2 linked regions of the Diceros bicornis minor genome follow. The protein of the gene in region 2 purifies or fractionates together with the protein of the main gene of each other region. This does not show direct contact. Links are inferred from orthologs where the notes say so. Each region holds a gene or a part of one and is shown on either strand. Other genes may lie near its edges. The genes, in order: FBXL3 and CRY1.

Evidence for each region.
Region 1: the proteins of CRY1 (region 2) and FBXL3 purify together in Homo sapiens (affinity purification with mass spectrometry; 4 studies listed by BioGRID and IntAct, counting the BioPlex papers as one, with this or other methods). This does not show direct contact. The link is inferred for Diceros bicornis minor from reciprocal best matches to the Homo sapiens genes CRY1 and FBXL3.

Annotation. Positions count from the first base shown.
Region 1 is NC_080748.1:56,524,850-56,539,922, forward strand, and holds the start of FBXL3 (F-box/LRR-repeat protein 3), read right to left. Parts: upstream 6,868-15,073; 5' UTR 6,248-6,867; intron 2,079-6,247; 5' UTR 2,078-2,078; coding exon 1,736-2,077; intron 1-1,735. UniProt on the Homo sapiens protein: Substrate-recognition component of the SCF(FBXL3) E3 ubiquitin ligase complex involved in circadian rhythm function. Plays a key role in the maintenance of both the speed and the robustness of the circadian clock oscillation.
Region 2 is NC_080764.1:17,164,767-17,180,874, forward strand, and holds the start of CRY1 (cryptochrome-1), read left to right. Parts: upstream 1-8,223; 5' UTR 8,224-9,057; coding exon 9,058-9,215; intron 9,216-16,108.

The sequences.
Region 1 (15,073 bases), on a different chromosome or scaffold from region 2:
ATTAACATATTAGACATCTTTTTATAGAATTTACCATTAGAACACTCTCAGACAACTCAAAGATGACTGAAACCAAAGGGAGTCGGGGGAGGGGCAACACATGAGAAGTTCCTGGATTTTTGTTTGTTTGGATCCTCTCCTCATTCCCCGACCCTTGCTGCAAGTTAGAGTTGCCAGATAACATAGAGGACATACAATTAAATAAGAATTAAGTATGTCCCAAATAATACATGGGACATACTTATACTAAAAATTATTCATTGATTATCTGAAATTCAAATTTAACTTGGTATCCTCTATTTTTCTTTGCTAAACCTAGCAATCCTACTCCCAGTGGCTTAAGTGCCTTTGTGCATTTTGCTGGGAAGAAGGCCATAATACACCCAACCATTCCCATCACCAGGTCTCTCCTCCTGCTCAGGCACATATATGGGAGAATAAACAGGTAATCTCCATCTAAGAAGGAATGTACTCTTGGGAGCAGAAAAGACTAGTTTTGGCAAAGAACTCTGGGTTAAGAACCATTGTTTTATCTAGGTTTAACTTGATCTGTTTAACAACTGCTACATATAGGAAAATCAGATATTCATGCATTACTTTTCAACAATAATTATCAAGTGTGTTAAGGATTTAGTAAACATGTCCACATTCCATTATTCATCCCGCAAACATTACCAGCCCCTGTACTTATACAAACCACCGTGATTCCTTAAACTCTTCCGGACATCTCAAAAAGCCACCCCACTTGACTTATGTCATCATTGCATGATTTCCAATACATCCTTTCTAGCAATGGAAAGAAACAAACAGTTCTCTTTGGCATTCTCCATGTACCTTTTTCTATTTCTCTCTAAAATGTATTCATCTAAACTTTTTACATGGTTTCTATATCTCCTTTTTCTTTGAAAATCTCGTATCATAAAGCCATCAATAAGAAAAACTCAGTCCCTATTAGAGATAGCAATCAAAATCTCCACATTTGGGCCGGCCTGGTGGCTTAGCGGTTAAGTGCACGCGCTCGCTGCTGGCAGCCCGGGTTCGGATCCCGGGCGCGCACCGACGCACCGCTTCTCCGGCCATGCTGAGGCCGCGTCCCACATACAGCAACTAGAAGGATGTGCAGCTATGACATACAACTATCTGCTGGGGCTTTGGGGGAAAAAATAAATAAATAAAATCTTTAAAAAAAAAAAAATCTCCACATTTTTAATTTATTTTATTGTATATTTCTTTTTCCTCAAATCTGTTCACAATAATTCAATGTGACTGATAGCTCTGGTCAACGATTTATGCTTATTTAGTGGTTGCTTCTGTTCTTTTAAGAAATTATTAATAATTATAATAAAATGGAGTAATTTAGATCAAATATAATCATTTGTGACAGCTTCTAAGGTATATGATAATTCTAAGTCTTTAAGCACTTCCTCTAAAAAAGCATTATTGGAGGGGCTGGCCCCATGGTGTAGTGGTTATGTTTGGCATGCTCCGCTTCAGCAGCCTGGGTTCACAGGTTTGGATCCTGGATGCAGACCTACAACACTCATCAGCCATGCTGTGGCAGCGACCCACATACAAAACAGAGGAAGACTGGCACAGATGTTAACTTAGGACTAATCTTCCTCAGCAAAAAAAAAAAAAAAAGCATTATTTTAAAGACATGAGAAGATGTACTGGCTTAGGACACAAGAGCCACTAAATATGCTTTATTTTTTAAAAGAAGGATTTAAAGTATTACCTTGAAGCTGACATATTGTAGATGGTTTGAATGTCTTTTAATAATCTGTTTGATCAGCTCTGGATGTGTAGCTTTCAAATAAGATGTAGCTGGCTGATTCAGTTCAAATTCAAAACATCTCCACAAGTCAGGCATGTGAAATACCTGGTTCCAGTTGCGGCAAACTTGTGAAGCATGAGCCCGGTCAAGAAGAGGCAAATACTTAAATACTTGAAGAATAATGTCTTGAAGGAGATTACCCCAATCACAAGTCTGAGAATGCTCATTTGTAGTCCTCAGTTTCTTGGATTTCTCTGTAGTCCCTTCTTCTGATGAATTATGATCTCTTCCTCCTCGTTTCATCCTATTCAGAAAAAGGCAATTTTTTCATAATTTTTGAATAGAAATAAATTCAAAATTCATTCTTCTATCACTGAGATGTGTATATATGTGTTTATAAATACAAATGCAAATGTGCAGGAAGAACTGGACCAATTATTCAAGAAAAATATCAAAACAAAATATAATGAAAAATGCCACTGGAGACCAATCGTTGTTTTATAAATTCTATACAAGTGTTTTTAAACATTTGTATTTATACTGTACTACTTGGGGGAAAAGTTTATCATGATTTTGAAACAAAACAAAGAATTTATATTTCAAAAGTTGTAGTCAACTAACTAAAACGAATATAAAAGAGAATCTACAGTGACACTTTTTAAAGGTTTCTTAAGAGTCATCTAACCATACCTGCTATATGTATTTGAGTTCCTGAATTCAAGGCAGACCAGAGTTCCAGGAACCTCCAGAGAGGATCTGAATTAAGTAGCTGACAGATCTTTCTACATTCAACAGCCTGTGCTATGTGTTGCTGCCAGACCCAACCTCTGCTTAAAAATAAGCATTGTTTGGTCTGAAATGTGGTTTCTTCTTCCAACACATCTCTTACTGTTACAATGTTTTCCCAAAGTTGTATTTCTGAATGATAGGTATGTTTCTATTTTATGTATTTGTGCTATCTTCACTCCATTTGTTTCTTTGAAAATAGTCTTTTTGTTGCAAAAACAGTAGTATGGTTAAAGAGAATAGGCTCTGGAATCAAGCTCCCTGAGTCTGAAGCCTGGCTCTACCTCTCACTGGTTATGTGGCCTTGAACACATTACTGGACCTTCCTGGGCTTCAGTTTGTATAACAGAGATAATAACACACAGGGTTCATGCAAGAAATTAAATAATATTAGGGCTTTTGAAAGGAGATACATGATTGTTGAATTCAGGTATAGGAAAGCAGTCCAATGTTAAAGACGTTAAAGTGCACAACACAGTAAAAACAGAGGTTACCAACCAAGAGGCAAAGAATGATCCTATTTTTGTTTTAAAATGAAGTGTGTGTGTGAGAGAGTGAGTGCGTGAGAACGAGCGAGAACACACGCTCATGTATGAGAAACAAACATTGAAAGTGAATTTACCACATTAATATGGTAACTATAATAGTGAGTGGCATTATATTATATTCCTAATAGTGAGATCATAATAGTGGTGGGATTACAGGTGAATTTTTTTGTTTTTTTTTGCCAATATGCTTCTCTATATTTTACAGGTTTCTTTTAATGTCAATGAATTACATTATAATCAGATAAAAAGGTGGGGTTTGATCTGTTATTTGGAAAAATAAGTAGTGCAGGCTCTAAACGAAGTGGGGTAACTGCAGACCACTCACTAGCACTCCTATTTAGTTTAGACTCTGCAGTACTTTTCTTTTGTCTCTAGAGAGCAGTTCCGGCAGGGTAGTGGTTTGGATTTGGAGTCATAGCTTTTGAAAACGATGGCTTGTGGCTCCAACTCCCTTCTTCTGGCACATTAGCATATAACAATTTCTGATTTGTGTGTGAGACAAAGGATGTGCACATGCACGACTCAACCAGATATGTCTCTGCAGACTCTCTCTCTATCCAGTAGCTAGCAAAACTTGTGAAAGAGGATTGGTGGCTGCAGGGAAATAGAATGGCAGAGGCCCTTGGCCTTCATGCCGTTAAAATCAGCCCAGGAGGTTTTAGTACATGTGCAATAAACTGCCTATTCCTCATTGCTCCTACTTCCAACTATGTGAGTTAAGTGAAGTAAATGATGTACATCCTATTGGGAGAGGAAGGGAGAAAACAGAATGAAGAAGTGACAGCAAGAGGGTAGTTTTATGGAAGACTAAAACTTACATGTGAATCTAAGAATACATTTTTTAAAATGTGTTTAGAGAAAAGGTAGTATAATCTACAACACAGTCTTCAATATAAAAAAAGAAATCTCTCCTAGTAATATCGTCCCACTAGAGGTTGAGATAACACTGTCATTATGAGCCATTTTTCTGCTTTAACTTATTCTGAAGGCTTACTTTAATTTTAGCATATAAAATTTGGGTCAAAGAACAAAGAGTTTGCTACCCAGGGCTTATAATTTCTCTTCTGATTATCTAAAACTACTCAGAATTTTGAGATACAGAGATTCAAAAAAGAATGAAGCCATCTTTATAATTTCTACTCCTTATTATAGAAGGCTGATTGCCTGTTTCTGCTGATTGTCTTCTAAACCCAGAACTATTCAACTTAAAGACGGAATGATTCATTTTACTTTGGAGTATATGGACATATAAACAAAATAAAATGACAATCTTATTCACAGAATTATCTTTGCTGATCCTAACAATAGATACTTTCTTTTGTCTATTACAACCCTGTTTTAAATAAAGTATATTTCAATACTTTTCCAAGTTGAGAGGAGAAACAAGTGAACATATTAAAAAGAAATATGCAACACTGAGGAATACTATCTCTTGGTCTAGATATAAGACTATACGATCGCCAAAGTATATTTTAAGCACTTACTAGTTTATGAATAGCTGAACAAAAGTCTGTAAATTGTCATATGTAATATGACTGTAATATGTCAGAATTATAGTATATTAAGCAATAGAAAAAAATGTAAGGCCAAATGCCAATAAAAATGATCTCTATATTATCCTCACATATGTATGAAAATAACAGAAAGTGGGCACCTGGTAAAATTTTTAAATGTCAATTTTTTCCAAGATGATTTCATTTATTCATGCAAAAAGTTACACTGCTTTCAAAAATATTTTATCGTGTATATTTACACATGAAGCTCTGCTGTACAGAAAATTAAATAATTCAGAGCATCCACCATTCTGCAAAGAATGGACTATTTATCCCTTACATTAAGTCAAAGAGAAAACACCTCTTAGATTTGAACAGGAGGAGTGCAGAGAAGAAAGCTGGACACCAAACGTCAATAAGATTTTAAAGCACCAAAACCAGGCCCCTTCAGGGCTCCCAGTTTAATTTAAACTGCAACGTTTCCGGGCCCCATATACGTAATTGACGCAAGAGAGCATTTGGTGAAGAACTGATATTACTACAAAGCGCCAAAAAGCAAATTAATGAGCAGAGACTACAGAACAAACTCTGAACATTTCCATACACTCTGAAAGGCGCGGTCAACTTGCTCATCAGATGAAGAGCGGAAGAGAACACTTAGTTGTGTGTCCCTCATTGTGTTAGGCACTTTTAGTACACTGTAGTATGTAGTAATTTTAAAAGCCCATTTGCACTTAGCTCTCAAAAGCCTGTTTTGGCATCACATTTCCTTTCCATTTATGCTCTGCATTGACTAATATCAAAATTAAAATGCATTCTTTGGCTGGAATACAAGAATAAAACAGTGGAAAGAGATTAACTCTCAGAACTAGACGGTAGGGAGAGTGTGATGGTGAAACTCGGTCTACTGGTCATTTGTAGATAACTGGGAGTCGATGGCATATTCAGAAATATTTCAGGGATAATAGGAAAAAGACTCTAATGAAAAGATCTGGGCCATTCGATTGGACATCAGCAGCAGCAAAATAATAGTAATGTCCCCTCTCAGCTGGGAGATGCAAGCCAATCATTTAATAGTCTGCTGCCTGATCTCGTCTGCAACCCCACCTGAGACGGCTGCCCATGCCAAAAGCAGGCGCGAAGCTGCCCATCACAAGTTGACCAAGTTTTCCACTCGCCTACGCGGCCGGGGCGGCCCCTCCTCCCTGCGCCACCTCCACGGACTGGCTTTCCCTGACATTTCTCCGGCGCCCTACCCTGGCCAGGCTGTTTTGACATCTTGACGCCCCTCACTTCTCAAGCTAGAAGCGCGGGCGCAGACGACGCGGGGAAGAGCCCGGAGAGCGCGAGCTCCGCGGTGCCCGTCAGCAGCCCCTGCCGAGGCTGACACGCCGGGCTCCGGGCGCGGCGGTGTCGCGGGCGGCGGCACGCGGTCGCCGCACGGCCCCACGCCTTGTTGACAAGTTCTGAAGCAGGCACGGCGGGGAAACGCCCCCAGGCCAGCTCCAAGGTCCGGCGCCGCGCCCCGCCCGCCGCTCCCGAGGGGCGGCCCGCACGAGCCCAGCCCCTGCGCCCCCAGGACCCCGGCCCGCCCTGCTGCCCACGACGGTGGCAGACCCTCCCCGGCCCGGCCCCTCTGCCGTTACCTGCTGCCGGGGGCGGCTTCCCCCACACACCGCCCCGGGCTCCGGGGACGGCGGCGGCAGCTACTCCCGCGGCTCTCACATCAGACCCCCGGGGCCCCCCGCGTCCCGCTCGCGCCGCCGCGGACCCCCGCGCTCCGCCCGCATCCGAGGCGCTGGTCCCGGGGCGGGCGCCAACGCGGCTCCACCTCTGCGGCTCTGGCTGCCCAGGCGGAAGCGTCCTTCTCAGTCCCTGCGTCCTTCTCCCGGGACCCCTCGTCGTCGCAGGGGGCTCCTTCACGAAGCCGCGGCCACCGCGTAGGCCCCCTGCGCCTCAGCCCGCACACCGAGTCCAAAATGGCGCCCGGGGCTCGCGGCCGCGGCGCGCCCGAGGAGAGCAAGGGTGGGCCGCGCCCACGCGGGAGCGCGCGCCGCGCGGCGCGGCTGGGGCCTCCGCCTCCCGCTTCCAGAAGGAGCGTTGGCCACCTTCCTCCCCGCGACGTGACTGCCGCTTTTAGGGGATTTTTCGTTTTGCAGCCTAAGGTGGGAGGGCTGGAGCTAGCTAGATGCCTGAGACTATGTGTGGCTGGAAATGGAAAGTTAGGGAGGTGGAGCAGAAGGAAGAAAGGAAGCAGTGTCCCCGGCGCCTGCTGTAGCCCAGCAGTTGGGTCAGGGGCAGAAGGATCGACAGCAGCTGCTGACAGCTGACACACCTCCGCGCGGAGAGGCGGCCTCGGATGGCCACGCCCACGCCGTGTAACCCAAGGAGTTCAAATACGGCCTGTAAAAAGATAGTACACACATCATATATCCATGAGGTGTTTTTTAAAACTGCGGAGAAGTATAGCAGAATGGTGACAATGTTAACGCTGGGATTACAGATGAATTTTATATTTACAATATTTGTATTTTCCAATTTTTCTAGAAACGATTTTTATCATCGGAGTTATTACTTTTTAAAAACCACGATTATAACATAGATAGACCCCTGAAATTTGTACATAGCTTTCTGAAACACATTGAGGAAAGTGCAAAGGAATAGATGGCTATTTAAAATAAAACCTCTGATGAAGCCTTTTGTACATTCAGGCATCTTTGGGTGTGACTGCTACCTAGTTAACTTTTAAAACTTTGGATTTTTGGATACTGGGTTTTCTTAAAGCCATTTCTAACTTGAATCATGCACCATCCCTCCTGCCTCCCTCAAAAATAAGAAAGAAGACATTTTCTATTCAAAGATGTTTTCTCAACCATCTGAGCCATGTGTAAGAGACTGGAAGGCAGTGATGCTCAGTGAGCTCTCCAGTCTTCCACTCGCCCCAACCCCAAACTGAGGTAGGAAGCCATGTGTAAAATTATGTTAAGATTCAGTGTGGGAAATTGCTGGTACTTTCTGTTAGGGCCTGGCTCTGTGATCATCAAGTCGAGCTAAACAAGTCTCTACCAACATAATAATGTGGATGTACCTGAACTGCAATATTTTTTTAGGTCCCTCAGTGACTAATGACAAAGGACAGTAGGAAGTTCTAAGACAGGCAATGATAGTTATTAGAGGAAGAAAAACAAGTCAGTCAAATACAGGCCCATTTATTTAAAGGTAGGTTAACAGTATAAAGGATCAGCAAAACACGTTAAATGAAATCAGCATATATAACTAGTAGATATTATATCACATTAAAACTTTCACACTCCAATTGTTGTCACTTTTTAATTTCTCGTTACAGTCTGTTCTCTCCCTAAAGGAGACAAGGATCTTGGCACAATTTACTGAATGCTTCCTCTTCTTCCCTGTTGTTATTTAAAGATTTTATTTCACCTTTTAGAAAAAAAGAAACATGCTTATTTTTGAATCAGTCAATACTTATTTAATTTATCGATTATATTAGTCAAGATCTGTGGCATTGGGGCGGAAGGGGGAGGGTGGCTGTGGAGTAGTTTGGTCCAAGAGGAAAGAATATTTTATTACCAACCCTGTTTAGAATTGCCAGTGCATGTGATAATAAAAAGCAAACCAACATTTAGTCAGCTTTATTATTGTTGTTAAATTCTCCACAGACAGTGTACCCCTTCCACCCAGGATGGGCCCCACCACCCCCACCTTGGCACTCTAGGATCAGAATAGATTAGGTTGTGTTGAGTAGTTCCTTAAGCACTATCTTATAATTCCTTGTTTTGATGACCTTCACAGTTTTTAGGAGTACTGCTCCAGTATTTTGTAGAATGTTCCTCATTTGGGGTTTGTCTCTGGTTTTTCTCGTGATTAGATGAGGTTATGAGTGTTTGGGAGGAAGATCACAAATGTATAAAGTGCCATTCTCATCATATCACATCAAGGGTATATGCCAAAAGGACTTATTCCTGTTGATGTTAATATTAATCAGAGATTGAGGTCAAGTTGCTCCACTGTAAAGTTACTTTTTCTCTTCCTTTCCATACTATACTCCTTGGAAGAAGTCATTAAGTACAGCCCACACTAAAGGGATGGGGAGTTATCTCTATCTCCTTGAGGGAGTAATGTCTACATAAATTATTTGGAATTTTTTTGCATAGGAAGATTGTCTCCATATCTCTTAATTTCATATTTTTGTGTCTTTATTTTTCTCTACTGAACGCTCTGTAATTTCCTCAGATCTGTCTTCCAAGTCACTAATTCTTTCTTCAGCTCTGTTTAGTCTCTGTTAAGCCAATCTCTGCCAACTTTTATTTCTAAAAGTTGGACTTGGTTCTTTTTCATATCTGCCTGATCTTTCTTGATGTTCTTTTCTCTTGTTTTTAATTATTTTTTTCTCTAATCATTTTAATTATATGAAATAATTGAGGGTCTAATGCCAATTTTTGTAAATGTTTTCTCATAGTAGGTTGTTACTCACATATTTTATGATTTTGGGTTGTGAGTTCATCTGTGAAGCTTTAGCTGTAGGAATCCTGTGCAGCCTTGTTGAGGGTATGTCACTCCAGAGAGGTCTTTTGTGTTTTCTTCTGCTGGGTGCTGCAGGGCGTTACTAGCCTGGAACAATTTGTATAATAATTTCTTGACTTCTGGGTTCTTGGGCCAACCTGTGTGAGGGCAAGCCCATGGTTATGAATTCTTAAAAAGTCTTTTCTTTTCTCTAACTCAGAGCCCGAGCTAAGACAGATTAGTTTACTGTTCATCTCCCTGTGCCGTAAGCCAACCATTCCTTGAGGAGGATAAAGATCTTCAAAATTCTTGCTTTATGCAGGGATGTCAGTTACAACTTCTCTAGCAAACTCATCTCCTGTCCCTGTGCAAGTCACGGTCTCTTCAAATAATCCTTTCCCATCAATCCTTCTATTTTGGTCTTAAGGACTTCACACTCACTCCTCTCAATTCATCCTCTACGTCTTTTAATTGCCCTTTTATATTTTTATCTCTTTGTCTCTCTCTGCTATATCACATATTATCTTCTACCTCACTGATTTTCTCTTTGACTGTCTGCAATCTAGAGTTTATACCAACTATTGAAAATTCCATTCCAGAAATTTCTAATTTGTTTTTTATATCCATCTAGTTTTTAAATAATCATTTTTTATGAATTTCACAAACATACATATGATTAATATAAATATATAATAACTAGATGGGAAGTATATATAGAATTGAAAATAAATGAATTAATAGAAAGCTTTAGTAATAATTCTAATAGCTGATGAAATAGAATTCAATACAAATAATGTCATAAGGGAAAAGATACATTAATAAAAGAAAAAACAGAGCAAGAAGATGGTATCATCATGAACATATATGCACCTTACAATGTACAGAATGCACAAAGTGTAAGTAAACATTAGTAAGTACACCTTGTTACGCTAAATGACCCCAGCCCCTCCTCTGTGTGACTACTCACTGCTCTGCATGTACTCTAAAAAAATTCACGTGCTCTCCTGATTTATGGCCTCCACTTACATACGTACTCCCCTATAACTTGATAAATTAAAACTTTGTTCTATGAGTTTCTCTCTAGGAACAGGCTGACTACAGGTGGGAAACACACCTACAAGATATCCATCATCACTGACAGAAGAAAAGAACAATGAAAGACCCTAGAGCCCATCATGCCTGAAAGCTGACGTTTCTAAACCCCCTCCTTACTCCCCACTTTCCCTATATAACTACCTCAAGGTTCTGTAATCCTAGAAGATGGTTTTTTTTAGACATTAGCCTGCCATCTTCCTGATTATACTGGTTAATCAAATTAAAGCTTCCTTTCTCCATCCTTAACTCATTGTGAGTGATTGGCTCAGATCACTGCGAGCAGAGCGAGCCCATTGCTCAGTAACAAAAGCAACAACTGATAGGACTGTAGGAAGAGGGAGATTAATCCACAGCTGTAGTTGAAGATTTTAGCACACCAATCTCAGAAACTGATAGATCCAGCAGGCAAAATATAAGCAGAATCATTGTAGATCTGAACAACACAATTAATAACTTTAAGCTCTTGGATATGTAGAATTTTATACTGCAAAAAGTCACTGTAGAGAAATAAAACACTTCAGGAAATACACCATATGTTAGGCCACAAAATAAACTTAAATTTCAGAGGATTAGCATCATACAGACTATGTTTGTGAGACATAATGTGGTAAAGTTAGAAATGAATAACAAAGGGAGAGCTAAAAATGCCATTTGTTTGGAAACTAAATAACATAACTAAAATAATACATGAGTTAGAAAGTAAATGAAAACCAAGATTAAGGAAATATTTTCTTGTATAATAATGAAAATACCATATATATCAGTGGTTGTGAAAAACATCTATACTGACACTTAGAGTGAGATTCCTAGTTTTAAATATAGTAATCCAGAAACAAGTAAAATTTAACAAAAGCCAAGTATTTACCTCAATAAGTTAAAAAAAAGAAAGGAGAAAAAAAGCAACAGAAAAAATGTGAAACATCAAGAAAGAAATTATAGTGACAGCTTACAAGATGGCTATCATCTATTCCTCCCGTTCCCATAGGCAAATGCTGCTCTTCACATTAAGATGTGAAGTCCTACTCCCTTGCCCTTAAACCTGGGCTTTGTTTCACCAACAGCATGAGGCAGAAGTGATGTTTTAAATCAAGGCTAGGCCATAAGAAACTTTAAAGCTTTCATCTGAGTCTCTTGGAATGCTTACTCTTTGGACAGTGTATCCAAAGAACCAGTCTCATGTTTTAGGAAGACAAAGCCTCAGGGGGCAATGCTCAGTGAACCCACAGAACCCTGAGAGACAATAATAAATTACTGTTTTAATCCAGTAAGTGTTGAGTAGTTTGTCCTCCAGTAGTAGATAACTGGACGAGATTTAATAACAAACACAAGGGCAGGAATCAATAAAATAGGAAAAAAATAAATAGAGAAGATCAAAAACGAAACCTGGTTAAAATAAAAGTGAATAAGGTAGATACAACGCTGGTCCGATTGATGAAGGGGAAAAAAGTTGCAAATTAACAAAATACATACTTTTTAAAAGGGGGAACAAATATAGCCACCACAGGTATTTAAAATAATAAAAGTATGTTATAAATAATTATTAACCAATAAAATGGAAAGCCTAGATAAAAAGAATAAAGTCCTAGAGAAATATAAAATGCCAAAATTGGCAGGAAGAAGTAGAGAATTTGAACAGATCAATAAGCACTGAAGTAATTTTCAAAGCCCTTTCGTCCAAGTAACCCCAGGCCCAGAGAGAATTACAAGTGAGCCCTACCAGACTTCCAACTAAGAGTTAATCCTTTCTTATACAAGTTGTTCGAGAAAAAATGAAGAGAAAAAGTCACCAGGTCATTTTATAAAGCTAGTATAATCACGATTACCAAACCAAATATGGAAAAGAAAAAAACTGTAGCCCCATTTCCCTTTTGAAAATAGCTGCAAAATTTGAAAAGAAATATTAGTTAATCAAATCCAACAATGTACCGCTAAAACCAAAAAATAAAGAAAACCATGACAATAACACTCCAATGCCCCCTTGCCCTATTTTTTTTCCTCACAGCACATATCACCTCCTAGCATATTATGTATTGTACGTCTGTTGTTTAATGTCTGTCTCCCCGTATATTCTAGAGGAATAAAGCGCCATGAAAATGTGAATCTTAGTCTGTTTTATTCACAGATCCTAGGCTCGTAGAACAGTTCCTGGCTCAGTAAATGTTTCTTTGAAGAATGAAAGAACACGACACGACAGAGCTTATGGTATAGTGTCCTGGACTTGAGCCATGTTGTGACTAAAATAAATCTGTCATGGGGAGTAGATGGCAGTTAGATGTTACAGGGGAGGAAAGAATCTTAAGAGGTGAATGGGATGGTGACGAGAGGGCAGTCATAAGTAAGTTTGATTATGGACCAGAGGACTCAGATCATACAAGGAATCTGTGCTTTTATGATTCACCAATTTCCCGAGTCCCACAAGGAATGGGGAACGTCCTCACAGAAAACAGGAAATCTGTTAATAGAACACAGGAGAAAGAAACTGCAGCTACTAAGTTCCTCCTTCTCCTCCTCCTCTTCCTCCTCCTCCACCTCCCCCTTCTCCTCTTCCCCCTCTTCTCCATCCTCTTCCTCCTCCTCCTCCTCCTCTTCGTCCTCCTTCTCCTCATTCTCCTCCACTGTTTACAAAGTGCTTTGTGGTTGCAGAGGAGGAAAGTCCTCGGTCCTCCTCTGTACTTTGATAGCTGTCTAAAAGGATAACATCCTCCAATGAAATTAGAAAACAGTTGTATAAATATGTATAAGTTCCTTATAATAAGACTAACACTGTATACAAAGGTGCTGAGGGCATGAGATGCAGGGTGGAACAGGGATAGACAGGGAGAGCTCATTCATTCACCAAGGGCAGTTTTGAATCAAATCTTGAAGAAAGTAATGAAATTTGACAGAAGAGAGGCAATCTATCCAGGTGGCAAGAAAAGCACAAGGCCAGGAGTTAGTAAGCAGATAGAATCATAATTAGAAGGTCAACACGTTCAACTCTCTCCCGGGACTGAAATCTGCTATGGCCCTGTAGTGGACACCTATTCAATTGCCTGCCTGGCAGCTCTTTTTGGGGGAAGCTCCTCCCCATCTACTTGGTTTAGTAATGGCTTCCTGTAGCACATGAATCTGGCCCCTGTCCACAGTTGATTGGTCCAGAAATGCACACGCCATCCAAGCTGAGACAGTCCCTCCCCTGGGAATTTGGAATTAATACCAAAAGAGAGTAGTCCCTTCCTTGGGTGCTTGGACTTGTAACATATAGACCCAGGAGCTACGGGTGGTCATTTGCTACTACCTAGTCTGGAAAGCAGAAAAAAGTGCTCTGCAGTGAGAGAGAAGAGCAAAATAGATGCAGAGAGAGGACCTAGAGGAGAGATGGAGCCAGAGTCCACAGCCCTGGTTCTACCCTATTCCCAGGCCTGGAGGGATCCCAGAGATTTCATTTTTTTCTTGCTTGTTGAAGTTATTTTGCATTTGCTTTCTTTTGGTTGCAACAAAAACTGCTTACCAGTGCAAACTTGACCCGGAAAGGCTCCTCTTTGGGTCTCAAATGATGCTTCCCTTTAACTGAAAGGTGATCGTGGAATTTGGTTCCACTGTGTCCTGTGTCGGGGAGTGGGGGTGGGTGTGGCATCTTCTCCATAGCTGCCATTAATCAAGAATGATTCTGTCTAGTAATATAGCGATGGTGGTGGATGGGGATGAAGGCCCAGGAAAATGACTGGGCATGATGACTGCCTCTTTTTGAAGGATTTCCTGCCTTCCAAGTTGACGGATCAACTGCAGACCTTACTAGAAAGATGCATGAAGTTCTTTCCGGAGGGGCAGGTAGATCTCTAAAGAGCAGTTGAGTCGGCGAGGAACAGAACTTTCGGTTCTACCCTTAGGCATTCCTTTGAACCATACAAGGGAAGGGCCTTCTAGATTTATAGTTTCATAAGGATTCTCCACATGTTCTTTCCCACTCTTTGACTTCTTTTTTCTCTTTCCCATCTCCTTTCCTTTTTCTGAACCTCTTTCTAGTCTCCCAGTCTGGCGTTTCCCCACAGGAGGAGGAACCCTTGTCTCCTCATGCCCTTCTCGGGCCTTGCAAACTTGAGAGCCCCGTCTCCACTGCTCAGTTAAAGCTGCTCTAGAGTGAAATGGAGAAGATGTGGATCTCGGCCGTGGCTTAGGTTTTGATCACGATTCTCCCTTTTCTGGATACACGAACTTGGACAAGTTACTTAACTTCTTTGTGCTTCAGTTTCCTCATTTGTAAAATGGAAATAATAATAATAATAATATCTACCACATAGAGTTGTCATTAGAATTAAATGAGTTAATGTATGCAAAGTATGTAAAATCAAGGTGTTGGCAGAGCTGCATTCCTTCTGGAGGCTCTAGGGGAAAATGTGTTTCTTTCCCTTCTCCAGCTTCTAGAGGCTGCGTGCCTGTGTTCCTTGGCGCCTGGCCCCTTCCTCCATCTTCAAGGCCCACGGTGTAGGGTCTTCAAGTCTCTAACTCTGAGCTCTGCTTCTGTCATCACATCTTCTTCTTTAACTTGGACGCTGTTGCTTCCTCTTTCCCATATTAGCACTCTTGTGATTACACTGGGCCCACCAGGTTAATCCAGGAAAATCTCCCCATCTCGGGGTCTGTACCCTTAATCATATCTGCAATGTCCCTTTTGTCATATAACGCAACATATTGACATCTGCTGGGGATTAGGACGTGGGTATATTTGGCGGGCCGTTATTCTGCCTACCACACCCATGCATTAGCACAGTGCTTGGCCACTGTAAGCCCTCAATAGATGTTCTCTCTTATTATTAGTAAACCTTGATTATAGTTCTTAATAACCTAGTATTTACATGTTTCTTCATTTGCATTCT
Region 2 (16,108 bases):
ATAAGGCACTAATCCCATTACGAGGGTTCCACCCTCAAGACTTATGCATCTCCCAAGGGCCTCACCTACGAATACCATCACCTTTGGGGGTTAGGATTTCAACGTATGAATTTTGAAGGGACACAAACATTCAGGCCATAGCATGGAGCTTACTCTATAGAGTAGGGAAAGACATATTACTATGGACGGAATTGTGCCCCCCACCCCATTTCAAATGTCGGAGCCCTAACCCTCGATGTGACTGTATTTGGAAATAGGGCCATTAGGGAAGTAACTAAGGTTAAATGAGGTCATAGGGTAGAGATCTAATCCAATAGAATTAGTGTCCTTATAAGAAGAGGTACCAGAGAGCGCTTGTGTGCTCTCTCTCTCACTCTCTCTATCTTTCTCTCTCCTCTGTCTCTCTCTGCCATATGAGGACACAACCAGAAGGCAATCCGCCAGCCAGGAAGAGGGCCCTCACCAGAACCTGATCATATTGGCACCCTGATCTCAAACTTCCAGCTTCTATAACTGTGAGAAAATAAATTTACGTTGTCTATAAGCCACCCAGTCTGGGGTTTTTTGTTATGGCAGCCTGAGTTAAGTAATACACACTTGTAACCAAATAGATAAATACATAATTCAGGTAATCTTGAGTACTATGAAGAAAAAGAAAGCTGGGCAAAGGGATTATAGAATGATGAGGAGTATAGACACAGTGGACAGGGAAGACCTCCCAAAGGAGATGACACTGGGGCAGACACTTGAAGGAAATGAGGCAGGAGCTATGAGAACATCTTAAGAAAGAATGTTCCAGGCAGAGGCAACAGCAAGTGCAGAGTCTTTGAAGTGGGAGCATTCTTGGCCTGCTTAAGGAACAGCCAGAAGTAGAGAGTGGGAAGGGTAGGAAGGCAGGCCAGATCCCAGGGCCAGATAGCTTGTGTAAGGTCTTTGGAGTTTCTATAATATTTGGCTGGATTTTGTGGCAAACACAATTTTTTTAAATTAAGGTAATATTGATTTTCAAGTACAGTATTTCTTAGTCTACAAATCAGAGCCCAAAAGCAGTTGTCTTTATTTTCCTATCGCTAAACTTAGTTTTTGTCTTGAAGTCTCAGTCTGCTCACTGGTTGAAAACTGGTCTAGTTGATTCCAGGTTTTCTTGGTCATTTCAGGAATTTCTTGTCATCTTAAGTTTAAACTCAACCAATTCTGAAAAATATCTCCTTTCCTCTGCTTCTCTCCAGGGTAGCATTTAAGTCCCCAGATGTTTAGGGAACAATGCATCTTTAGAAGGAAGGGAGTTGATCTGGCTGTCATTCCTCACTTGCCTACACTGACATCTGCTGAATGTACAATCCTGTCAGGTCCTCAGATGTGTTATCTTTCCAAGACAGCATCTGTTGAGATGCCGATGTTCCCATCCAGTCCTTGGTCACAACCTCTTGTGACATTTTGCACCACACTGTCTCCCTTGGCAAAATCTCTTGGTTAGCTGGCTTTCTTTTTCAGCTAATTTTCACAGCCCTCTAAGGAAGAGGGGACATCTAGAAAAATCCAGCTGTTCTCTTAGCCAGCAGGAGGCTTAGCAGGGTTTCCCAGGTCCTCTCTGTCCAACGAATCCCTCATAGGCTGTGCTGGGCCACAGTAAAGTAATATGGGGACTTCTATGAGGGTCAGCCTCCAGATTTCAGATGGGAAGTTGGGCACAAGTCTTTTCTACTCACAGATCACCCTAAACTAATGTAGGATCTGGAACTAAGCCTGAATAAGGATAGATGAGACACTATCTTCTTATTTCAGAAAATTTATCTATTTCATTTTCCTTGCACTCATATCCCACCCCAGCTTAGAGAACTTTTATATAGTGTTGAGGGAAGGGATGGGTAACGGCAAATCTTTCCTGATTTATATCTGGATCAAGGCTCTTGAATTCGCAACAAAAGTGTTGGACTACCTTTGTCCTCCAATTCTACCCCCGAGGCAACAAAAGACCCACATCCAGTGACCTGCATAGGGATGGTCACAGGACAAAAAAAAGATGTGTGGGGAAAAAAACATTGGCTAATATTTCACAATATCATGTTGCCACATTTGTGACTATTTACATTTTCTAAATGCACTTGGTCAAGAAAAAGGATAAGAACAAGCAAGAAAACTGTTCGCAAGTACATCTTTCTGGACTCGATCAGTTAACGGATTCTATCAGTCAGTGCCCAATGAGGAGACAGAAACCACACAGTAAATCCAACAGGGAATGTTTCATGAAAAGAATTATTAATTATCACAGGAGATTAATTATAGAGTCGGAAAGAGAACTATGAAGAATACCCCAGGGGCTGGCCCAGTGGCGTAGTGGTTAAGTTCACGTGTTCCGCTTTGGCGGTCTGAGGTTTGCTGGTTTGGATCCTGGGCGCGGACCTACTCACTGGTCATCAAGCCATGCTGAGGTGGCATCCCGCACAGAAGAGCTACAACTCTACAACTATGATATACAACTATGTACCGGGGCTTTGGGGGAAAAAAAAAAAAGAAGAGGGAGATTGGCAACAGATGCTAGGGCAGGGCCAATCTTCCTTAAAAAAAAAAAAAAGAAAGAAAGAAAGAAAGAAAATACCCCAGGACTGAGGGAGAGTACCCAAGGAAGGACAAACTTGGAAGGGAGAGGACCAAGGGTCTTCCCCAAAGGTGGGATTCAGAGCTCATCGGAGAAGGTGTGGTTGTAGCAACTGGATAGTGAAGAAGTTGACTGGGTTGCCCTGGGCCACAGCTGGTCTACCCTCACCAGGCCAAGGCTAGTGGGAAGAAAACCGTGGTTGGGAATGGCCACAGGCAACACCTGGCCAGAATGCAGGTGGGCTGAGGCAGAGTAGTACCTACTGGGATGCCTGCAAGACTCACTGGGCGTCAACCAGCAGGGATGCCACTGAAACTTGGTAGAAGTGAGCTCCACAACATGTCCCTCCCCCAAGCACCTCTGACAGTGGTGGAGTAGGAGCAGAAAAAGAAAACAAGCATTCCAGAACCAAGAAGACAAGCCCCTTCCTCCTGCGGTTTTCCTCCAGCGCCCTCTACTGACAATGTTTAACACGGTGCCAGCGGTGATAGAGAAATCCTTATCCCTAGGGTCTAGTTCCATTAACATAGAATAGGCATGAAAAGTGAATTTGGAGCTGAGAGGCAATAAATTGATAACTGACATGTGGATGAAGTACAGTGTTTATGTGATCAACTGGGTGTTACCATGGTCTCTGGAAGAACATTTATTGAGAGTCTGTTGAGTACCAGGCACTGTGGCACGTGTTAATGATATAATAAAGAACACAAATAGACTCAACTCTCTACCCTCCTGGAGCTTGCATATGGGGAGGGGGCAGACCTGGATTGCCCAATAATAAGTAAGCAAACAACCAAAAAATACAGATCACAATTGGTGCTATGATGAAAGTAAATAGGGAGCTATGATAAAGACTAAGAAGGGCCCCTTTTCTAGAATGAGCAGACAGGGAAGACCTCTCCTGTTACCACCCAAGGGTGGGGATGGGCGGGTCATCCGCCCATCCCAAGACATGCCGGTAGTCAAGAGGCAAGGTGGTAGGAGAGAAGAGGTTTTTTATTACAGCTTGCTAGCAAGGGGGAAGATGGCCGACTGATGTCCGAAAGAACCGTCTTCCAGAACAAAGACTACAGGCCAGTTATATAGGGGGCTGGCCTCCCAGTGGGCGCATCCATCTGATCTCTGGGTAGGGGCAGACATCTGGCCTTAGTTACTGATGGTCTTTTGTTTTACTGGATATGTATCAGAGACCGGAGCAACGCCCTACACCCTGATCTTTCAGCTGTCGTTGATGATGGCTATCAGCATAGACTCTCTGCCTGGGAGTCATCACGTTCCTAAGGAACTCAAAAGAACAAAGTTATCAACTTATAGCAGCTGAGAGGGGCCACAAAATCTGCAGAGCATATCTGGGTTAGTTATCAGAGGTCATTCCAAGTTACAATATGGTTTCTTTTCTACAATATGGCTTCCCTTGTGTCAACCTTGTGTTAAGCCAGTATCACTCCAAGAAGGTGAGAAAAATTATGAATGACTGAAATGGGCAAAAAAATTACTAGGTCTCTTCAAGTTATTCTCTGCCTGTCATTATCTTTAAACTATTTTACAACTCTTTAAATCGTAGATTATTGATAGCAATGCAAACGAATCTTGTCCATGGACACGCACATGGATATTGTCCTCTGAAAGTGCAATTGATTTCCCTACCCTCACCCCTTTGTAGAAGAAGTTAGTTTTGCATATAATAAGAAAATTCATTTTTAACATTCCTCATGGCCTATATATGTAACTGCTCTTTGGAATCTCCTTTTATTCCATTGTAACATCTTACTGGTTCCCTCATTAATTAACAAGTTAAGTGAAATCTTTGACATGTGTTCATTTTATATTCATATGAGAGTCATAATTTACCTTTTTAAAAAAATAATGATCCTTTAACACATCATATAAATTCAATCCCCCAAAGACTCTAGTGTTGGGGATCACTCAGCCAAGGGCTACCAGCCTAATATACACATCACATCAAGACTGAATGAGCTGGGCCGGCCCCATGGCTTAGCGGTTAAGTGCTCACGCTCCGCTGCTGGCAGCCCGGGTTTGGATCACCGGCGCGCACTGACGCACCGCTTGTCTGGCTGCGTCCCATGTACAGCAACTAGAAGGATGTGCAACTATGACATACAACTATCTACTGGGGCTTTGGAGGAAAAATAAATAAAATTATAAAAAAAAAAAAAGACTGAATGAGCTGATTGCACTGTCTACCCCTTCATTATGTGTTTGTTAATAACATGTCAAAAATCACCTCTGCAAGATGGGGTCAAGAGAGAACACAGGCTTTCAATTTAGAGGTAACACATTTTTATCAAGGGCGCTCATGAAATCAAAGAGATATTGATTTTTCTAACATAGTTGGCAGTTGAAAGAATGTTTAACAGGACTCTTCATAGATATTTTTGAGCCCATGACAGGGTTGTGTTCATAGAATCCTAGAATTTTAAAATAGTATAGAAAATTTAGAAATCATCTAGTTCAATCGCCTCCTTTTATAGATAAATTAATCAGGCCAAGAAAGCCCAGGTGATTTGTTCAGGATCATCAACTAAATGGTGAGCCGAGAGAAAATTCATTCTCTTTCTCTTAGTCCCATACTCTTTCTACCACCATGATGTTGAAGTCAACCAGAATATCACAAGAGATTCCTGACAACACTCCCCATCTTTTCCTTCTCCCTTCATACATAAATACTCACTCTGAAAAACAAGGGGAGTGGTAGTGTGAGTGAGGAATAGTATATGATAAAGAAAGAGCTTGGATTCAGAAACAGTCTTGGTTTTTCACCTAGTTTTACTACTTATTTGTATTTCTGAGCTTTAGTGTCTTTATCAGCAATGTGGGCATAAGTTATTATTAAATAATAATAAGCTGCCTCAAAAGATTATTATTAGGGTTAAGAATAACCTATATAAAGTGCCTGGCACATAGTAGGTGCTATTATTAAATGGTTACTACACCCCCATAACAAAGATATATTAAAGTAACCATCTGTATGCCATAAAAACCCTTCAGTCTTTGAGGAATGCACAGTTGACAGTACTGATGCTTTTATAATAAATTAGTACTTTTATGTGTAAATGAAACTTACACACACACCCACATACAGCTGTCAAAAAAATTCATCTTTATTGAATGAACAATCAGCAAACATAAGTCAACTCTACACCAATCAATATTGTCTCTCTACCTCCCACTGTTTCATTTGGATGTTTGAAAACAATTCTTATGTCTTTAGACACAATCTGCTTACTTTCAAACTGCCTAAAATGAAACATGAAACAATGTATTTTTGTTTTTGTGAGGAAGATTGGCCCTGAGCTAACATCTGTGCCAATCTTCCTCTAGTTTATATGTGGGATGCCGCCACAGCATGGCTTGATGAGCGGTGCGTACGTCCACGCCTGGGATCCAAACCCGAGAACCCCAGGCTGCCAAAGTGGAGCATGCAAACTTAACCACTATGCCACTGGGCCAGCCCTGAAACACTGTATTTTTAAAACTACAATAGGCCTGGGAATATGAGGCAATCCAAGTGAAGGCACCACAGGAATTTATTGTCTCACAGTTTTGGAGGCCAGAAGTCCAACTATTGGCAGGGCCATGCTCCCTCTGAAGGTGCTAGGGAAGGATCTGTTCCATGCTGCTTCAAGTAGTTCCTTGGCTTGTGGTAGCATAACTCCAATCTTCACATGGCATTCTCCCTGTGTGTGGGTCTGTCTCTGTGTCCAAATTCCCCCTTTTTATAAAGACACTAGTCATATTGGATTGGCCCACCCTAATGACCTCATCCTAACTTGATCATCTGTAAAGTCTTTACTTCCAAATAAGGTCACAGTCACAGGTACTAGGGGTTATATGAATTTTAGAGGGACACAAGTCAACCTGTAACAATTGCCATATCCTTCCTCCTTGTAACCTTGCCAAACACACTGGTGGCAAACAGATTCATTCATTCACTCAATATTTGAATACATGTGTCAGGCTCTATACCAGTGTCAACTTAAAAAGCAAATTTGCCAGTTATTTTACCCTCAAAATAAGTTTATTTGAGAATAGCCAAAAGAATTGCAATTCAGGATGTGCATGCAATGGCAAACCATAGGCAAATTCCGAGAACAAAGGAGGAGAGCTTGCTTTCATAGACAAAAAGGGGGAGCAGGGAGGGGCTGTTCTAAACAAAGTCCATTGGAGAAAAGTGACAGTTCAGGGGCTGTAGCCAGGTGGGGAGAGAAATCTTCCTTCAGTAGTAAAATAGTTGTACTTACTGCCAGAGATGCAAGCTATGTCTCTTCCTGAGTAACTAACCATGTATGATAGAGCCTGAGAGCTCCCCCTACAGACCTTCCCAACTTTAATTTAGTTAAGGTTTCTCTTATTCATTTCACACTAGGTATTGATGATGCAAAAAACAAATTGGACAAAAACTCTGTCCTTGAGAAGTCACACTTCTCAAGTTATCATAATGCTATTATGATAACTATTATGATAATAAAAACTGATATTTAGCACATATTTTGTGTTAGGTATTAAAGTAGGCATTTTTCATTTAATCTTCACCATAGTGTGATAAGTGATGCATCAGAGACATGCCTGGCGAGATGGGGGTGGTCCTAAACCCGCTTTGGAGGACAGGAATATTTCCACAAATTGGTAGCACTTCATCTGAATCTAAAGGGATGTGTAGCAATATACCAGGTAGCTCAAAGGTGATTGTAGTGATTCTAAAGAAGAGCATTTTATGGAGGAAAAATCAGCATGTGTAAAGGTTAAGAGACAGACTGTAAACTCCAAGAGGGCTGGGATTTTTGTCTATTTCCCTCTTGTATCTCCAACACTTTGAACAGTGCCTGGTTCAATAAGTAATTGTTGAATTAATATACGGGCATCACATGTCTAAGGCATGGCATGGACTGAAGTTCATTGTCGCTAGAAAGGTAGGCAAAGGCCTCATCACGAAGAGCCCTGTAAATCGCACTTAGTGCAAGAAATTAGGGCTGACATGTTGATGATACACAGACAGTATAAAGGAATTCCAGGGATGCCTGGCACCCACCCTGCCAATTACCCCTCTTCCCCAAAGCATGTCCAAGGGTGTCGCGCCGCGAGGGCCAGAAGAATGGCAGGGGCACCAGCTCCACACACTCAAAAGTAGGGTTCTCTGGCTAAAGCTGGATTGAAGCACACGGCTGGGCTCGAAGTCTAATGGAGCTTCCTACTCTCCTCCTTCCACCCCATCCTGCCTCACTCCCCTCCCCCAGCTTCCCCGCCGCCGCTTGGACGACACCACGTTGTCTCCAGCCCTTCCGCGAACCCCATGGTAGGAATCCCCCAGCGCACTCCGGCCCGCCGGCCCCGCCCTGCCGCCCTGCCGCCCTGCCGCCCTGCCGCCCTGCCGCCCTGCCTCCCTGCCTCCCTCTCTGCCTCTCTCCCTCTGGAACAGAGTGAGAGCGCACGCGCGCCCTCCCGAGCCAAGCGCGCGTCCGCGAGCTCCCCGCATCCCCGTGCTCATCCGGGTCTCAGCGGGCCTCAGCCAATGGTGGATGCTCACGGCCCCCAGAGGCGGAGCTAAGCCTCCCCTCACAGGGGCCGTGTGGTTACCGCGGGGGCTTCCAGGCCACGGCGACCTGTCGGCCGAGAAAAGGAGCAGTGGCAGAGAGCCCAGCGTCTGGGCGAGGATCGACGGCTCTGAGATCAAGCGGCTGCCGCCCCCTAGAAGCGACTGAATCATGAGCACATTCCCCAGTCAGAGCGGCTGTAGTAAACACATTTCAGAAACGTGAGGTGCCGGGGGTCACGTGGGGACCGCGCCCTCCAATGAGGATCCGGGGGCGGGGCCGAGGCCGCTGACGCGGCGGCGGCGGCGGAGTCACCCGGGCAGCCTCGGGACCGGTCACCGGCCGGCAGCCGTCCAGCGGCCTCGACCACCGCCTTCGTGCTCCGTGCTGCGTTCTCACTCCTCTTTCCCGGCCCGAGAGGCAGCGTGGCCGACAGCTGCTCAACCGTCTCTCGTCCCTCTCGGAGGCTCGCCTCCGGCGGCCCGTTTTCTCTTCAGGCGCCGCCTCGGTGGGGCGAGGCTTCCGTGACGAACCCGCAGGGGCCGCGGGTGCCGGCTCAGGCCGTCGTGGCGGCTCGGGCTCGTGGAACTTGCTCAGCCGCCGGAGGTCCGAGGCCCTCGAAGTTATGCGTCTGGTCCGCGCGGTTGCGGCCGGCGCCGGCTCCTAAAGGGCGTCACACCGGACTCCGCCGCCTGGGTAGCCTCCATTCATCTTCCAGCAGCGCCTCCAGCGCCCTCTCCCTCTCGGGTCCCCTCCTCGGACTCATTTTTTCCTCTCCCCGCTCTGCCGCCCTCCCCTCCCTCCCTGGGTGCGGCGATTCTCCTGGCGGCGGAGGTGTCGGTCATGAGCCGGACCCTCCTCCCCTGAATTTCTCCGGGAGGAACTCGGCGTCCGCCGCGCCCCGGGATGGGGGTGAACGCCGTGCACTGGTTCCGAAAGGGGCTCCGGCTCCACGACAACCCCGCCCTGAAGGAGTGCATCCAGGGCGCCGACACCATCCGCTGCGTCTACATCCTCGACCCCTGGTTCGCGGGCTCCTCCAATGTGGGCATCAACAGGTGGCGGTGAGTCAGAATCCCGTGGGAAATTGATTTCGGTGTTCACTGAATCGGGACTTGACACGCGATCCGCCCCATCTGCGAGTTTAGACCTGGGACCGCCTTGCTTATGCTGTTTTAAGAGTGTGGGTGCTTTAAGTATTAAATAGAACAGACTTACTAGCTCCCTGGCCCGAGCGTGCTGGCAGCCTGGAGCACCCAGGCCTTCGTGTGTGAGTTACGTGTCTCTGCGCTAATGGCAACTCTTCCCCTGGATTTATGGAGACTTATTAGTGGTGGAGTGAAAGAAACTCCCTCCCAGTCCTCAGTGGCCCGTGGATTGATTTCCTTGGCCTCGTTGTGGCATTCGAAAGGATTGCGGGTTTTAATGTTTACGTTTGTGTGTGTCTAGGTAACTCATAGTAGGGAGAAAATCATTCATTCAGTACAGTTGCCTCCAAATCCGTATTTCTCCCACCTTGAGGTTGCTGTAGGAAAAGCAAGGGAAACGGCATTGTCTGATTTCTCTCTGCCTAGCTCTTCCTCTCAACTCCTCCTTGTGGTTGATTAGACAAAGCACAGTTTTTCTTTCCAGGCAAAGTATAATCCTTCTACGGATCAGAGCCCTGGGAGAAATCTTGGAGAAGCTTTATGATCTTTTCCTGAAATATCAGGCTAGATGATTGTTAGGCCCCCTGGTGGAAATGAAAGCATTCCTTCAGTGGGTAGATTATTGATCACCTGCTGTATACCAGGCACTGCTTTAAACACCAGGGATATAGAGTGGAATGAAACAAGCAAAAATTCTTGTCCTTTTCGAGCACGTGTCCCAGGAAGTGAAATATATAGTATTTGGTGGTGATAAATGCTGTGGAGAAATACAGAGCAGAGAAAGGGGATAAAGAATACGAGGGAGTGGGATTAGAGTTGCGATTTTAAATATGGTGATCAGGAAAAACTCAAAGAAGGTGGCAATTGAACAAGGTGATGAAGCAGGTAATAGGTTGTGGGTATCTGGGGGAAAAGCATTCCAGGCAGAGGGAACAGTAAGGGAAAAGGCCCTGAGGTAGAAGTGTGCTTATAACCTTTGGAGGAAACAGCAGAAGAAGCCAATATGACTGGAGCAGAATAAGTGAGAGGAAAAGTAGTAGATGAGCTCAGAGATTTAATAGGCCCAGAACGGGTAGAGCTTTATAGGCAATTGTCAAGATTTGGGCTTTTACTCAGAGCAAAGTGGGAATAATTGTAGGATTATGAGCAGAGAAGTGACTTGATCTGACTTAAGTTTGAAAAAAATTTCTCTGGCTTTGGTTCTGAGAACAGAGTGAATTGGGGGTGGAGGGGGACAAGAAGCAGGGAGACCAGTTAGGAGGCTGTTGCATGCATCCAGACGAGAGATGGTAATGACGTGGACCGTAGTGATAGTGGTGGACTTGGTGCGAAGTAGTCAAATTCTGAGTATATTTTGAAGGCAGAATCCACAGTATTTATTGGCAGATTGGATATGTGGTGTCAGAGAAGGAATCAGGAATGATTTCAAAAGTTTTTGGCTTCAGGAAGTAGAAGGATGGAGCTGCTCTTTGTTAAGAAAGTGAAGTCTGTCAGAGAAGCCATTGGGAGGGTGATTGGAACTCTCGTTTGAACTTGGTTAACTTTGAGATGTTGATGACACATCCAAGTGGAGATAGCAGATAGACAGTTGAATGTATCTGGAGTTCGAGACAGAGATCCAGGCAGAAGGTATAAATTGGAGAGTCATCAGTTTATAGATAATATTTAAAGCCATTTATTCATCTATTTATTCATTGAACAAATATTTGTCATGCACCTACTACATGCCAGGCACTGTTTTAGGTTCAAGGCATTTAGCATAAACAAAATTGCTGAAAAATTCCTACCCTGTTGAAGCTGCATTCTAGCAGAGCCGTGAGACTGTGTGAGAACATTAAGAAAGTGAGTGTAAATAGAAAGGAGAGGAGGTCCAAGGACTGAGCCTTGAGTACTCTAATGTGTAGAAATTGTGGCACTGTGGAAGAACCAGCATAGGAGATTGAGAAGGAACATCTAGTAAGAGAAGAAGAAAACCCATAAGAGTGTGGTGTCTTGGAAGCCAAGTAGAGAAAGTATTTCAAAGAGAATGTTTTACCTACATCAAGTGCTGCAGATGGGTGAAGTGAGATGAGGACTGAAAATTAAAAATTATATTTAGCATTTTGAGGTCATTCATAGCCTTGACTAGAGTGGTTTCAGTAGTGTCAGAAGCAAAAGCCTTTTGGCATGGCTTAAGAGAGTCTGAGAGGAGAGCAGTTGGGAGAGAGCTCGGATAGACAGCTTTTTTAGGGAGTTTTGCTGTAAGGGGATCAGAGAAATGGTCTGGTACCTGGAGTGGGATGTGAAGTCAAGAGAGGATTTTTTTTTAAGATGGGAAAAATTTTAGTATATTTGTATGATGATGGGAATGATACAGCAACTATATATAAAACACTCTTTTGGGGCCTGCCTGGTGGTGTAGTGGTTAAGTTCCCGGGCTCAGCTTCAGTGACCGGAGGTTCGCAGAGTTGGATCCCGGGCGCAGACCTATACACTGCTTATCAAGCCATGCTGTGGCAGGCATTTCACATATAAAGTAGAGGAAGATGGGCACAGACGTGAGCCCAGGGCCAGTCTTCCTCAGCAAAAAGAGGAGGATTAGCAACAGATGTTAGCTCAGGGCTGATCTTCCTCACACACAAAAAAACACAACACTCTTTCATTAGCAGAATTAGTGTCATTAACGTTGATTTTGGAAAAAGATGATAAATGTAATATATTTTAATGTATTAATATCTTAAAATAATATAATAATTCCCTTGTCATAAGACTATTCGGAGGATTAAATTAGTTGACAAATGTAAAATGCTTAAAATGTGAGTAGTGGGTAGTAAGTGCTTGTTTGCTATTTGCTGTTAAATTGGAAGCCCTAGGTAAATAATATCTAGTTAAATGTCTGCAGTCAGTGTCTTCTAGAGCAGTTTATAAGTTTATAAAATTTAGACTGTAAGCTTCTGTAGGATAGGGGCTATATATTGCTTAACTTTATACACCCAGCAACTCACATTGTCAAATAACGGGTGAAATAAAACTGGTAAGCACAATAGGAATAGTCCCATTTTTTTCTTCTTTTAGAGGATATTTTGGGGCCGGCCTGGTGGCGCAAGCGGTTAAGTGCGTGCTTCGCTTCAGTGGCCCAGGGTTTGCGGGTTCAGATCCCAGCCGCGCACCAGTGCTCTGCTTGTCACGCCATGCTGTGACAGCATCCCATATAAAGTAGAGGAAGATGGGCACAGGTGTTAGCTCAGGGCTGATCTTCCTCACAAAACAAAAAATAAAGGATTTTTTTTAACTACTAAATATTGCCTTTTCTAAAAGATAGATAAAGATATAAATGATGAGTAGAGACAGACTGTTTTCTTCCACTGAAGACTGTTATAAAAAGTCAGGAGCAGAATTTTATTTTTGTGCTTTTCATATAGTAGTAGCTCAGTTATTGTTTGTTGAATCCTTAGCTTGGCATTCAGGCTGTCGTGGGTTTCTGTCTTCTTTCCTTCATGCTGTTTCCTTTAATCAACAACATTTCCTAAATTTTTGGATTTAAGTGAAAAGCAAATTAAAAAAAAATTATTTTAGCTAAGTAAATTAACAAAACTGCCTTTTGATATTGCCATCATTTCATTTAAAAAGGATGCGTTAACATTAAAAAAAAAAGTTTGAAGGACATTGATGCAAAGTAAAGGATGGTCCTTTGATTTGAATAAAGTAAGTGTAATGAAAACTGACTTTGCCTCATTTGATCTGAGACCAGTGAAACTTTATCTTGGATTTGTCATCTTTGGGATTGAATGATTTAAAATATTCCTTCACTTACTTCTTATTAAAATTATACCACACAAAAATTTATACACGAATGTTCATAGAATTTTTATTATTCATAATAGCCAAAAGGTGGAAACAACCCAAATGGCTAAACAAAACATGGTATATCCATACAATGGAATATTATTCAATCATAAAAAGGAATAAAGTACTGATACATGCTACAACATGGATGAACCTTGAAAACATTATGCTAAATGAAGAAGCCAGTCACAAAATCCCACATATTATTTGATTCTGTTTATATGAAATGTCCAGAATGGGCAAATACGTAGAGACAGAAAGTATATTAGTGGCTTCTAAGGGCTGGGGAGGTTGGGGGAGTTGGGCAGTGGTAGCTAAGGGGCACAAAGCTTCTTTATGAGTTAATGAAAATGTTTGTAGAACATTTAGAAGGTGGTGGTTGCACAACTCTGTCAATATACTAAAAACCATTGAATGGCACACATGAAAAAAAAAATCTGCTTACCCCTGTAAGGCCCAGTCTAAATGCCATCTTTCCTATAATACCTTTCTTTATCACCTTGTCTGGGGTGATTAACAGTCTTTTGAACTCTTATACCATTTTTCGAGATTGCTTTTCACATCACCGTTAGTATTTACTTCTTTTATTTGTATAATTGATATGGTCCTCATATATTTATTTCTCCCCCATTTAACAGATTGTACCTTTTCTTCCTGAAGAGAAGGTACCATTTCAGTCCATTAAAAATTTATTTTGTGTTCCTGTCATGGCAGGCACTATTTTTGTTACTGGGGATACAACAATGAATAACACAGAAAAAGTCCCTGTCCTTGAGGAGCTTCTAGTCTAGGAAGAGAAACAGACAAATACATAAACATAATATGTCAGGTGGTGGTAAGGTGGTAAGTGTAATGGAGAGAAATAAAGGAGAATGTGAGAACAAAGACCAAAAGGGAGGGAGGAAACAGACTAGGCACATATCTGGGGAAGAGCCCTCTTTGTATTCTCCACAATGTCTAGCATTATGTCTTGTACAACGTAGGCATTTAATAAATATCTTTTTAATTTTCTTTGTAAGTCTAGGGTTTAGGAGTGGGGCAGTTACTTCATTTAACTAGATGCTTATGTGTATCTTTTTTTTTGGTGAGGAAGATTGGCCCTGAGCTAACATCTATTGCCAATCTTCCCCTTTTTGTTGAGGAAGATTGTCCCTGAGCTAACATCTGTGCCATTCTTCCTCTATTTTGTATATGGGACACCGCCACAGCATGGCTTGATAAATGGTGTATAGGTCTACACTCAGGATCTGAAGCCACTAACCTGGACAGCCAAAGGGGAGCGCTCAAATTTTAACCACAGCATCACCAGGCCAGCCCCCTGTGTATATTAAACTCATAATTCAGAAAAATAATTCTCTGGGCTGGCCTGATGGTGTAGTGGTTAAGTTCACACTCTCCGCTTCGGCAGCCAGGGGTTTGCAGGTTCGAATCCCCAGTGCAGACCAATGCACGGCTCATCAAGCCATGCTGTGGTGGCATCCCACATATAAAATGAAGGAAGATGGCCACAGATGTTAGGTCAGGGCCAATCTTTCTCAGCAAAAAGAGGAGGATTGGCAACAGGTGTTAGCTTAGGGCCACTCTTCCTCACAAAAAAAAGAAAAAGAAAAATAATTCTCAATGAATGGATTATTTTTAATATCTAAACTTCAATATGTTTATTTCACAGTTGATGCTATCACATGTAGAGTCTGAATTTTCAGTAACCAAATCTATACATGTACCTACATCCTTACCCAGTCTTTCCTTCTATTATATAATTTAAGTGCAAGAGATATTGCTTTCCCTATTCAAAACCAATCTCTTCATCTATACCCCATTTTAAAAACTTTGCTTGTATTTTTTCCAGCTTTATTGAGGTATAATTGACAAATAAAAATTGTAATATTTAAGGTGTACAACATGATGTTTTGATATATGTATACATTGTGAGCTCATTTTTGAGTATTTTCTCTCACCTTTTCTTTTAACCTCTTTTTAGGTTGCTTGCAATCAACATTTAAACAGGCTTAAATCCAAGCTCTGTAAAAATGAAAAAACCAACAGAGGAACAAAACCTCCCCTTGACTGTGTTCGTCTCCTGCAACTATGTTTCTCAGTGGCTTTATAGCCAGACTTTAGGAACAAGATGTCTAATACTGGCTGACTTTGTTTCTTTCTCTTCTGTTCACCCTCAAACCCACTCCAAACTAGTCTGGTTCCACCTCCACCTACTCCACCGAAACTGTTTTCATCCAGAGGATGCTTTTCAACTTTTCATTCCTTGACTTTTTGCTCTGACACATTTGACCACACCTTCCTCTTCCCTCTGCTTTAGTTAGAGGACCCTCGTATGTTTTTCTGCCAGAGCTGTTAGTGTTCTTCCTTGACTTCTCTTTTTCTGTTCAGCTCTTAAATGCCCCTTAGGTCTGTAATCTCTACCCTCTTTTCATTTTGCATCCTTTCTCGGCAATCTCATCTCTCTTTGTAAAATGTTACCATCTGTATGCCCAGATTTCACAAATCAGTGTCTTCAGCCCATATCTCTCTCCTGATCCCCAGAAAGGTATCCAGTATATATAGATTCCCCGCCAATTTGAATGTGTTGTATTACCTTACACTCCAATTGTTCAAAACAGAGTTCATCTTCTCCCTTACTTCTCTCTCAAAAACAAACAAACCCAAACTGACTTTTCCTTTGTTTCTTGTCTTCATAAATAATACTACCATTTGCCCAGCTGCTCAAATAATTTACAGATTAGAGTGCAAATTATATAATTTATTCAACAAATATTTGAGTCCCTACTGTGTGCCAATCACTTTGCTAATTTCTGTGGGTAAAATGGTAGTCAGCAGATAATTTCTCTGTCGTCAGGGAGTTTACAGTATAGAGAAGGATTTACTCAGAAATAAAATAATCGCAGAAACACATTCTTCTGTCTGCTTTGCCACTTGATCCCATACCACCATCCTTTTTGCCTAGATTATGTGAGTAGTTTGCAAAT